Cricetulus griseus: one gene and its partners. The protein of the gene in region 3 purifies or fractionates together with the protein of the main gene of each other region. This does not show direct contact. Links are inferred from orthologs where the notes say so. Each region holds a gene or a part of one and is shown on either strand. Other genes may lie near its edges.

Region 1 (2,504 bases), on a different chromosome or scaffold from region 3:
GGGGGCGGCTGGACCCTACGAAGGACAAAGGAACTCAGGAAGGTGCGGCCCCTGCCCTGTGCCACTTCTCCCTCCCTGGGTGGCCCCTCACTCACACTTGGGGCTCCCCTCTCCCTGCGTCTTTCCCTGTCTTTCTCCCCCACCCCTTGTCTGTCCTTTGCTTCCTCCCCTGCCTATCCCGTCACCGTCCCACCCCACAGCTCTTGTTAGCTTCTCTCTTGCTCTCTTGTGCCTCTGTTTCCCCGTGTGTGTCTCCCTGCCCCTCCTGCCCACTGACGGCCACTCTCTTGCCCCCCCTCCCACCCCCTCCCTGCCAGGATTACCAGGGCCCCGGGACACGGCGGCTGCAGGAGGTGCTGGGCGTGCAGACGGGCGGGCCCGGGGGCCGGCGGGCGGGGGAGCCGGGCCACAGCCCCGCCGACTACCTCCGCTTCCAGGACCTGGTGCTGCGCATGCTGGAGTATGAGCCCGCCGCCCGCATCAGCCCTCTGGGCGCTCTGCAGCACGGCTTCTTCCGCCGCACGGCCGACGAGGCCACCAACACGGGCCCGGCAGGCAGCAGTGCCTCCACCTCGCCCGCACCCCTCGACACCTGCCCCTCCTCTAGCACCGCCAGCTCCATCTCCAGCTCTGGTGGGTGCCCACTGTCACGTGTGCCGCAGGGCCCAGCCTGGGATACCTCCCGCTGGGCCTCTGTCCTAGAGCCTTAGAGCTAAGCTACCAGATTCTGAGCTGCAGGGTGAGGTGGGGTGGGACAGTCCCACGTGATCCAGGCTTGAGAGTCAGCCCCTAAAGCTGCCTCTAGCCTCCCACACAACTCTGACCCAAGATCTCAAAATCAGGCTGTTAGAGCCTTCAAACCAGCTCTGGCCTCAGAGTCCCAGCATGGCGCCTAGATGTTGAGCAGACTGCCTGCATCTTACCGCCACTGCCCTCTTTTCTCCTTCCCGGTGCTTCCAGGAGGCTCCAGTGGCTCCTCCAGTGACAACAGGGCCTACCGCTACAGCAACCGATATTGTGGGGGACCTGGGCCCCCCATCACCGACTGTGAGATGAACAGCCCCCAGGTACTAGAGCTTGAAACCTTGGAGGTGGGTGGCAGGCGCTTAACACTTCAGGACCTTAACATCCTTCGGTTTTTTGTTTTTTTAAGGTTATACCCTCCCAGCCTCTGCGCCCCTGGGCAGGGGGTGATGTGCCCCACAAGACACATCAAGCCCCTACCTCTGCCTCGACATTGCCAGGGACTGGGGCCCAGTTACTCCCTCAACCCCGATGCCTTGGACGTCCCGCATCGCCAACGTCACCACCACCCCCGGAGCTGATGGATGTGAGCCTGGTGGGCAGCCCTCCAGACTGCTCCCCACCTCATCCAGCACCTGCCCCCCAGCACCCGGCTGCCTCATCACTCCGGACTCGGATGACGGGAGGTCGACCACCTCTCCCACCCCCGGATGACCCTGCCACTCTAGGGCCTCGCCTGAGCCTCCACGGTGTACCCCAGAGCACAGCAGCCAGCTCATGACCCTGCCCCCTCCCTGGGGCCCCTCCTGAAGCCATACCCCCTCCCCCCATCTGGGGGCCCTAGGCTCCCATCCTCATCTCTCCCCTTGACTGGACTTGCTGCTACCCAGCTGGGGTGGGTGAGGCCTGCACTGATTGGGGCCCAGGGCAGGGGGTCAAGGGAGAGGGGTTTTGGCCACGCCCTCCCCACTAAGACTGGACCCTTGGCCCCCTCTCCTCCCTTGTTTTCTATTTATTGTACCAAAGACAGTGGTGGTCCGGTAGAGGGGGAGATTCCCCCTCACCCCAGGACCCTAGGAGGGGGTGGGGGCAGGTAGGGGGAGATGGCCTTGCTCCTCCTTGCTGTACCCCCCAGTAAAGAGCTTTCTCACATGCCTGCCTGAGCGTTTGCAGGGCCTTGGCTCCCTCTCCTGACCCTCAGAGGCATGGTGGGGAAGGGTGCTTTGTGGTGTGGGTATTGGCCCTCCTGGGGACATCATCCTTCTTGGTGCAGGCATGGGGCAGCAGGAGGTTGGCGGGCTGTAGAACCATAGACACATCCTGGGTACAAGAATCCTAGCCCACATCTGCCTTTTCCGGGGTAAAAAGGTCCCTTTCTGGCCTGTTGCTGGAAATTGTAATGTTCTGCCCTCATCTGCCAGGGCTCCCATAGAGTCCACCCAGGAATGGCTTTTTTGTGTCGGGCAGGCACCCAGTAGGCTCTGGGTATACTCTACAGGCCTTCCTTGGTTACTATCCAGAGAGGCTATGGGGACAGATTTTACCCCACCTGTATCCAGTCCCATTCTGGAGTCATTGCAGAATATTGAGATTCTCGGGCAAAAAGACGCTCCCTGACTTCCAGGTAAGTGATTTTTGTTTCATGGCAATTTGGAACCAGCTGTCTTCCCACCCAGTCTTGCAAGAACTACCTGATTCAAACTGTTAAGAGCGCTTACAACGGGCAGGCGCGGTGACTCCTGGGAGATGGAGTTCTACAA
Region 2 (3,751 bases), on a different chromosome or scaffold from region 3:
TCCCACTCTAGTGCCCCACCCCTGCAGAGTCCTATTCTGCTCTGCCCCCCCCCCCCCGCTTCCTGCCCCCTCCCCCCCAAATCTTTAGAAGACACAAATCTGAAGCAGGGTTATTTCTCCAGAACCTAAGCTGAAGGCTCCTGTCCCTTCCCATGGCCTAACTCTAACCACCTCCACCCCAGCCCCACTCATCTAAGTGCCAGGCTCCGCTCACCTTTGGGCCCTGACCAACTGCCACCCTCCCCCTCTCTAGGAAGCCAGCCTCATTTCCTCCCTCCAGCCAGGTCAGAGGTTCCACCCTCTCAACTGTCCTCCCTCAGAACCAGCTGGGCCACTCTCTTAAAACCCTCTGTATCTCCTTGCTGCCCTTAGGATGATCTCTATAACCCCCCCCCACACACACACACAGAGAGACATCTAAGGCTCCTCTACCTACTTTTCCCACTTTATTTGTGACGGTCTTGCTATGTGTTCCTGGCTGTCACTAAACTCACAATTCTCCCGACTCAGCCTCCCCAGAGCTGGGCTGGCAGGCATGCACCACAGTGTCTGGACTTACCTCCACTGGGGCCCACCTCTCCCTAGGATTCTAGATCTTTCTCCCCCGCTCCCCCTCACCCCCTACTGTCTGCAGATGTTTCCCTGGGTCTGTATCTCTTTTGGCCCATATCTGAAATAGCACTCCTAGGGACCCCCCACCCACTCCCCCTCTTGCCATCTGCCCCCATTTCTCCACCCTCCTTCAGAACTGAGACGCTTGTCCCCCGGGGGTCCCCAATATTCACCTGCCAGGAACTTGTGGGCTGGCTTTATCATTCACAACTGCACTGTCAACATCATCGCCTTCACCTTGGAGGCGATGCCTGGGGCTAGGTGATCAGGCAACTGGCTTTCTTTCGGGAAGAACCTTCCTCTCTTAGCCTGGGGCACCTTTCCTAGTTTTCCTTCCCTCTGGCTCACTTTTTTTTCTTTTCCCTCAGCAGCCCCGTTTCGGTTTTAGGAAAATGCCATTCTAGGTTCTCTGTAGATCCCACTTGTAGGTAACTTCATCCATTCCCAGGGCACCTCCAACCACGGGCTGGTCACACTCCAAATTTTCCCCAGCCCAGACTGGCCCATCTATCTACTCAATGTGTCTTTTTTTTTTTTTTGGACAGTCCAGAAAACCCTTCATAGGTTTTGCTCGATCTGGTCCCTCATCTTACTAATCTCATCTTGTATCAAGTCCCCCCCCCCAAGGCTTGCTCAAGCTCCGACTAAGCCAATCTGTTTTCACTCGTTCTGCAACTGAGGGTCTCTGAGCTATGTCAACTGACCCACGTGGGAAAGAAACCCCTTCCCAATTCTCCTTAAAAAGCCCTTCTCCCGGGCATTCCCTAACCCGGCTCTATCCAGAGCAGACTTTAACCTGCACTCTCTACTTTTGGCACCTCGATCCAAAGTGCTCACCGAAAGTTTTTAGCAATTGTCGGGGCTGCTTGAACCCAAGCTATGGGTCCTCACTCATTGCTACAGCCTCCGGAGCCAAGCACGTGACAGTTCATGCAAAGGTACTGAGGGAATGAATGGATGGATGGATGGAAGGATGGACGGACGGACGGACACATTCCCACATCGCACTCTTAACCCAAGGATCACGCCAGCTCTTTCCTGCTCCACCTCTACTCCCTACTCATCACCTCGGATCACCCCCCCCCCCCCCGCGCGCCCCAACTAAGTCTCCTTCCAACCTAATCATCTATCTCGTCCATCCCCACAGATCCCTTCTCCCTGGGGGCCTTCCCTCCTCCTTCCTCAGTTGGCCAGAGTCACCTCGGGTGTCCCCCGCCGCTCGGCCAGCGCCATCACTGCCCTCAACACATGTCACTAGCCGGTGGCGCCCTCTTCAGGTCTGACCTGCACCTAGCAGCACCTCTGTCTGTCCAGGTCTCGCGTTTTGGCAGCAATCACATGTCGGGTGTCCCCCCCCAACCCCCGCTTGTACCCCCCCCGCATCGTGCAGCAGAGCCTGCCTCAGTCTCCCCACCGCGGCGAGCGGCTTCTGCTCCGGAACCCCGCTTTCTCCAAGGACTCTCTCTCTCTCCCCCCCACCTCCACCCCCCCCACCACCACCCCGGGTCTGGGCCGCCTCCTCCTCGCGCCGGCTGCCTCGGGAGGAACCTGCATCCTCGGCGCCCACAGGCTCCGGCTCCGCGTTGCCATGGTTCCCCGCGGGGGGCCCCCGGCCGGCTTCCTCCCGCGCGGCCTGGACCGCTCGCCCCGCGCCGGGCCCGCACGCACCTTTGAAGTAGTCGTTGGCCTGCGTCTTGAGCTCCTCCGCCCGCTTCAGAGCGCCGTCGGCCGGGGGCTCGTCCCGGGGGGGCTCGGCACACTCAGCCCGCTCGCCCTCCGCCATCGCCATGCCGCAAAGCGACCCCCCCTGCCCTGGCAACGGCCGCTCGCGGCACACAGGCCGAACCGTCGCGAAGGAGCGCCGAGTGACCGCCGCCGCTGCCGCACAAGTGTCGTAAAGCGCGGGCCCCAAAGGCTCGCCTGGCGCGCCTGCGCGGCGAGCCATCTCCCTCCCTCCTCCCCCCCCTCCCTCCCGCCACCGGCTCGCACGCTGGTGCTCGCGGAGGGCAAGGTGACCAGAGGCCGTCCAGATGCCCCCCTCGTGGGAAAGGATCCCATCGCGGGGGAGCGCTGGAGGCCCGGGGTGAGCCCGGAGGGCGCCTGCTCCCCAAAGTTAAGAGAGTTCTCGGGCAGCAAGAAAGTTTCTCGGGGTCTCAGGGACCCGCGGGCATGCGTTTGGGCTTGGTGATGATGGATCGGCGCTCTGATGCCTGCCTCCCCGCGCGGGCTGGGACCGCTTTCACGGCAGCACCCTGCCCAACCGAACCGGGAAACCTGCTCCGGAGTTGGGTGCTTGCTGCCTGGTTGCTCCTTGTGACCTTGAACAAGTCGCCCCCAGTGTCCCTTCTGGGGAAAAACAACAACAACAACAACAAAAACAAAAAACACATAGTTCCCCCAAGGAAACCGAATAAAAGTTTGAACCTTGCCAATCGGTCTTTCTGGGTTATGAACAGGGGCATCCCGGTTTTTTCGAGTCTTGAGCCAAGTATCGACTGTGCTGTGTTCTGGGTTCAATAGTATATTTTTTTTTAAAAAAAATAGTGTTTTATTTATGTATTTGTTTTATTTATTTATTTATTTATTTATTTTTTGAGACAGGGTCCCGCTTTGTAGCCCTGGCTGGCCTGGAACTTGCTGTGCAGACCAGGCTGGCCTTGAACTCACAGAGATCCATCTACCTTTGCCTCCCAGGTGTTGGCTTGCTGCATCATGGTGGGCCCCAGCAGAATTTTTTTAAAGGACCGGGGATGTAGCTCAGTTGGTCGAATACTAGTCTAGCATCCTCCAGGCTTGAGTACCGTCCCAGCACCACGTGAAACCAGACTGAAAGGTGGATCTCTGTAATGGGAACATTTGGTAGGTGGAGACAAGAGGACCAGAATTTCAAGTTCAAGGCCAGACTGGGATACTTGAGACCCTGTCACAAACACAAACAACCAGACCAATGGAGTCTGTTAAATGACGCTTGGGTTGCTGTCTGCATCTCCCTTGCCTGGATCACAGCTTCGGCCTCCTCTGATGCTTGCTTCGGTTCATCCAACCCCCTCCAGTTTACCTTCCATATGGCAGTCAGAGGCATCTTGCTAGAACACTGTAAGGCTGGCACCCGCCCCAGTCTTCCATAGCTCCCCAACTC
Region 3 (3,736 bases):
GGTTGTGAGCCACCCAACCTGGGTTTGTGGGTGTTTTGTTTGCACATTTGTCTGTGTACCACCTGCTTTTGGCACTTCCAAAGGCCAGTATACAGTGTTGGATTACCTGAACTATGGAGTTAAAGATGTTTGTGAAACACCATATAGTTGTTGAGGATAGAATCCTGGGGCCGGTTCTCTTAATCATTGAACAACCTTTGGTTGGGGATTTTAAGCTTGCACCATTATGCCCTTATCTCTTTTGTTTGGTTTTTTGTTTGTTTGTTTGGTTTTTTGTTTGTTTGGTTTTTTCTGGAGACTGGGTTTCTCTGTGGCTTTGGAGGCTGTCCTGGAACTAGCTCTTGTAGACCAGGCTGGTCTCGAACTCACGGAGATCCACCTGCTTCTGCCTCCTGAGTGCTGGAATTAAAGGCGTGCACCACCACCACTTGGCCATTATTCATTTTGAAGTATTCAGAGACCAGATGTTACTTTGATTTGTAACTCTGGTTTCAAGCTATCCAGCACCCTCTTTGGACCTCTCTGGGCCCTCTGGCCTCCAGTACCAGGCATACAGGCAATGTACATACATGTAGCAACACACACATAAAATAAATATGAACAACTCCTTAGATGAAAATGTTCAGTATATACCATTTTGTAAATAAATGTCAAGGCATGTAACTAATGACTTAGAATCTTTAAAGTGAAAATTGGAAGAATGTTTGACTTATGGCATTGTTTATTGGTGTCTGCTAAATAGGCTTATTCTTTGAGACAGTCTCATTGTGTAGCCCTGGCTTTTCCTGGAACTGTAGACTAGGCTAGCAGTGAACTCCTGGAGGTTAGCCTGCTTCTGCCTCCCCAGTGCTTGGATTAAAGTTACATATTTATTTATGTATTTACTTTGCAGAACCCCCAAGATAAAATATTCAGCCTTCCAAGCTTAAAATGAGCATGCGGTATGTTTCTGTCTTGTAAGTTTGAAAAGAGTAACTGATGGCCTTTGTTCAATGTTGATTTCCTAACCACTGTAACCTGGCAACTGATTTTTCCTTTTTCTTGTTGAGTTAGACTTTAACTAGAAGACATAGGAACAAAGTGACAAACATTGTAGGTTACAGTTACTGCTTATCCTTGACCCCTAGACAACACTATGGAACAGATGGTGGGGCTTTGGGGGAGTTTGGGGTTTTTTTAGGTAGGTGTGTGCCGGGCTTATGTGAACTTGTGATCCTCTTTTTGACACAAGTCTGAGATTACAAGCATATGTCACCATGCCCAGCTCTGTAAATTCTCAAATGTAGAATTGTTTTTATTATCTCTAACTCACAGAGATTCCCCTACCTCTGCCTCCTGAGTGCTGGGATTAGTGTGCATCACTACAGCAAGCTAAAAATTTCTAGGTGGGGCCTGGCCTGTACCTGCTGCCTTCTCCTCCCAAGTGTTGGGATAACAGGCATGTCCATAGTGTCTGGCAGAACTTTGTGTCTTGTTCCTTATTATAAACTATCATGAACCAGGCAGTGGTGGCGCACGCCTTTAATCCCAGCACTCGGGAGGCAGAGGCAGGCGGATCTCTGTGAGTTGGAGGGCAGCCTGGTCTAAAGAGCTAGTTCCAGGACAGCCTCCAAAGCCACAGAGAAACCCTGTCTTGAAAAAACAAAAAAACAACAACAACAAAAAACTATCATGATAGAGATACAAGAGCTTTGTTTAGTCTTCATTCTTTCATTCGTTCCTTCTCCTTTTGCTTCCACCTGCAACACCAGCTGTGGAAAGGTAGGGGCAGGAAGTTTGTTGCAATTTGAGGCCATCCACACCTGCATAGTTAAGACTTGCTCATAGCTGGGCAGTGATGGCCAACCCCTTTAATCCCAACACTTGGAAGGCAGAAGCAGGCAGATCTCTTGAGTTCCAGGACAGCCAGGATTGTTACAGGAGAAACCCTGTCTCGAAAATGTCCCTCATAGCAAGACTTTGCTTTAAAACACTGAAAGGGGACCGGGGAAATGGTTTAGCCAGTAAGAGTATTTGCCAACAAACATAAGGACCTAAGGTCAAATTTCCATGGGGGTGGGGGCGGCGGCTGAAGAGATGGCTCAGCAGTTAAGAAACTGGCTAGTCTAACAGAGGACCCAGGTTCAGTTCCCAGTACCCACAAGGCAGCTCCAATGGATCCAACACCCTCACAGAGGCAGAACACAATGTATGTAAAATAAAAAAAATCACTGAAGCCTTTCCATCACCCATGTAAAAAGCTATTTGCACTGTGTGTTCAGGACAGGGGGCCTGTTAGGGTTTGTTAGCCACTTGCTTTCATATTTAGTGAGAGTCTCAAAGGTGTGGAAGTGGAGCAAGGTTGAGACAGACATCTGGCCACTTCACAACCCCACCACCACCACATTTGCATGTATACTACATACAAACATAAGACAATCAATTTTTGTACAATTGTGTGTGAAGGCCTGGTGTGGGTGCTGAGAACTGAACACAGGTCATTTTGTTTTGTTCTTGGTTTGTTAGAGAAGAGGCTTGGGTTTGTGAAGAGACTGTTTAGACACTACTGTGAGAAGGCAGATTTGGGGCCAGCTGCAGAGTGAGACCTTAACATTAAACAAAAAGTGACTTTTAATTATTTTTATTTTGTAAGAAATGGTTCTTTTAGGGAGTCTCTTTCACTTGATAGCCACCTCTGTGTCCTCATCTCCCCTTACAAGGGCCCCAGTCATATTAGAGGAGAGCCTGCTTTGATTCCATTACCTTTAAAAGCCCTGTCTAAAGTAAAAGTCTCATGCTGAGGTACTGAATTTCAGAGTTAAACATGAGAAATTGGACAGAAAGCAGTTCACCCTTAGCATTGATTACTTAATGTGCTTCTAAGGAAGTAGGTTAACTTTGCTGGTTCCTGTGTCTTAAGTAGTGAATGAACAAAGAACAGAAAAACTGAGCCTGGGCATGGTAGCACACACCTTTAACCCACCTGCCTCTACCTCCCAAGTCCTGGAATTAAAGGCTGTTGCTGCTAGGCAAGCAATTATTGTAATGTGCTTGGTAAAGAATCTGCTCATTAATTAGCCTCAGCCGCTAGGCAAAAAGCAGGTGGACTGTATACCCATTTTCTCCAAGTTAAGTAGATAAAATCCTCACTGAATCCTCGTGTGCCAGCTATTTGGTGTTATTGGGGGTTCTCTAATGGAAGAGAACTGATTCAGTGAATATATAACAGGATTTATTGGCTTTTGTACATGATGCTTGTGTCAACGGAATAGTCCAACAATGGCTGACTTACCCAGAGAAGTCCAGAACCTTGTAGTTGCTTTTAGTCACTTCCAATCTGATACTTGAAAGCCTGGACAAATCCCAAAGAGCTGCTGCTGGTCTTCAGTCCATTTAGGAAGCATGGAGCAGGGCAGCAACAGGGTATTGGCACTAGAAAGTTCGGCTCACAATTAATTAGAATGTGTTTTTACACTTCAAATAGTTTGATCAAGAAAATGTACAAGAATGCCTTTGAGTTGATTTAGGATCCAAGTTTACAACCCACATTATTTGGGAAGGGTCTAAGCATTGTTTAATAAACATGGTAACATGCTGTGTAGTGAAGGCACAGTTTTCTAAAGTTAAACACGACAACTGGGTGATAATGGTTATCTGTAGCTGTTAGTATTCACTGAATGGGGGCGGTATTGTAGTTTTTATTTTAGATGGGTGGGCTCATGGTATGTATGTGTGTGGGCATGCATGGAGTCCTAGT

Evidence for each region.
Region 1: the proteins of Ptges3 (region 3) and Dyrk1b purify together in Homo sapiens (affinity purification with mass spectrometry; 3 studies listed by BioGRID and IntAct, with this or other methods). This does not show direct contact. The link is inferred for Cricetulus griseus from reciprocal best matches to the Homo sapiens genes PTGES3 and DYRK1B.
Region 2: the proteins of Ptges3 (region 3) and serine/threonine-protein phosphatase 5 purify together in Homo sapiens (affinity purification with mass spectrometry; 5 studies listed by BioGRID and IntAct, with this or other methods). This does not show direct contact. The link is inferred for Cricetulus griseus from reciprocal best matches to the Homo sapiens genes PTGES3 and PPP5C.

What each region holds. Positions count from the first base shown.
Region 1 is NC_048602.1:7,912,615-7,915,118, reverse strand, and holds the end of Dyrk1b (dual specificity tyrosine-phosphorylation-regulated kinase 1B), read left to right. Parts: coding exon 1-42; intron 43-317; coding exon 318-633; intron 634-960; coding exon 961-1,067; intron 1,068-1,153; coding exon 1,154-1,525; 3' UTR 1,526-1,896; downstream 1,897-2,504.
Region 2 is NC_048602.1:11,654,152-11,657,902, forward strand, and holds the start of serine/threonine-protein phosphatase 5, read right to left. Parts: upstream 2,480-3,751; 5' UTR 2,402-2,479; coding exon 2,281-2,401; intron 1-2,280. UniProt on the Homo sapiens protein: Serine/threonine-protein phosphatase that dephosphorylates a myriad of proteins involved in different signaling pathways including the kinases CSNK1E, ASK1/MAP3K5, PRKDC and RAF1, the nuclear receptors NR3C1, PPARG, ESR1 and ESR2, SMAD proteins and TAU/MAPT.
Region 3 is NW_023276806.1:129,802,485-129,806,220, reverse strand, and holds the start of Ptges3 (prostaglandin E synthase 3), read left to right. Parts: upstream 1-921; 5' UTR 922-930; coding exon 931-956; intron 957-3,736. UniProt on the Homo sapiens protein: Cytosolic prostaglandin synthase that catalyzes the oxidoreduction of prostaglandin endoperoxide H2 (PGH2) to prostaglandin E2 (PGE2).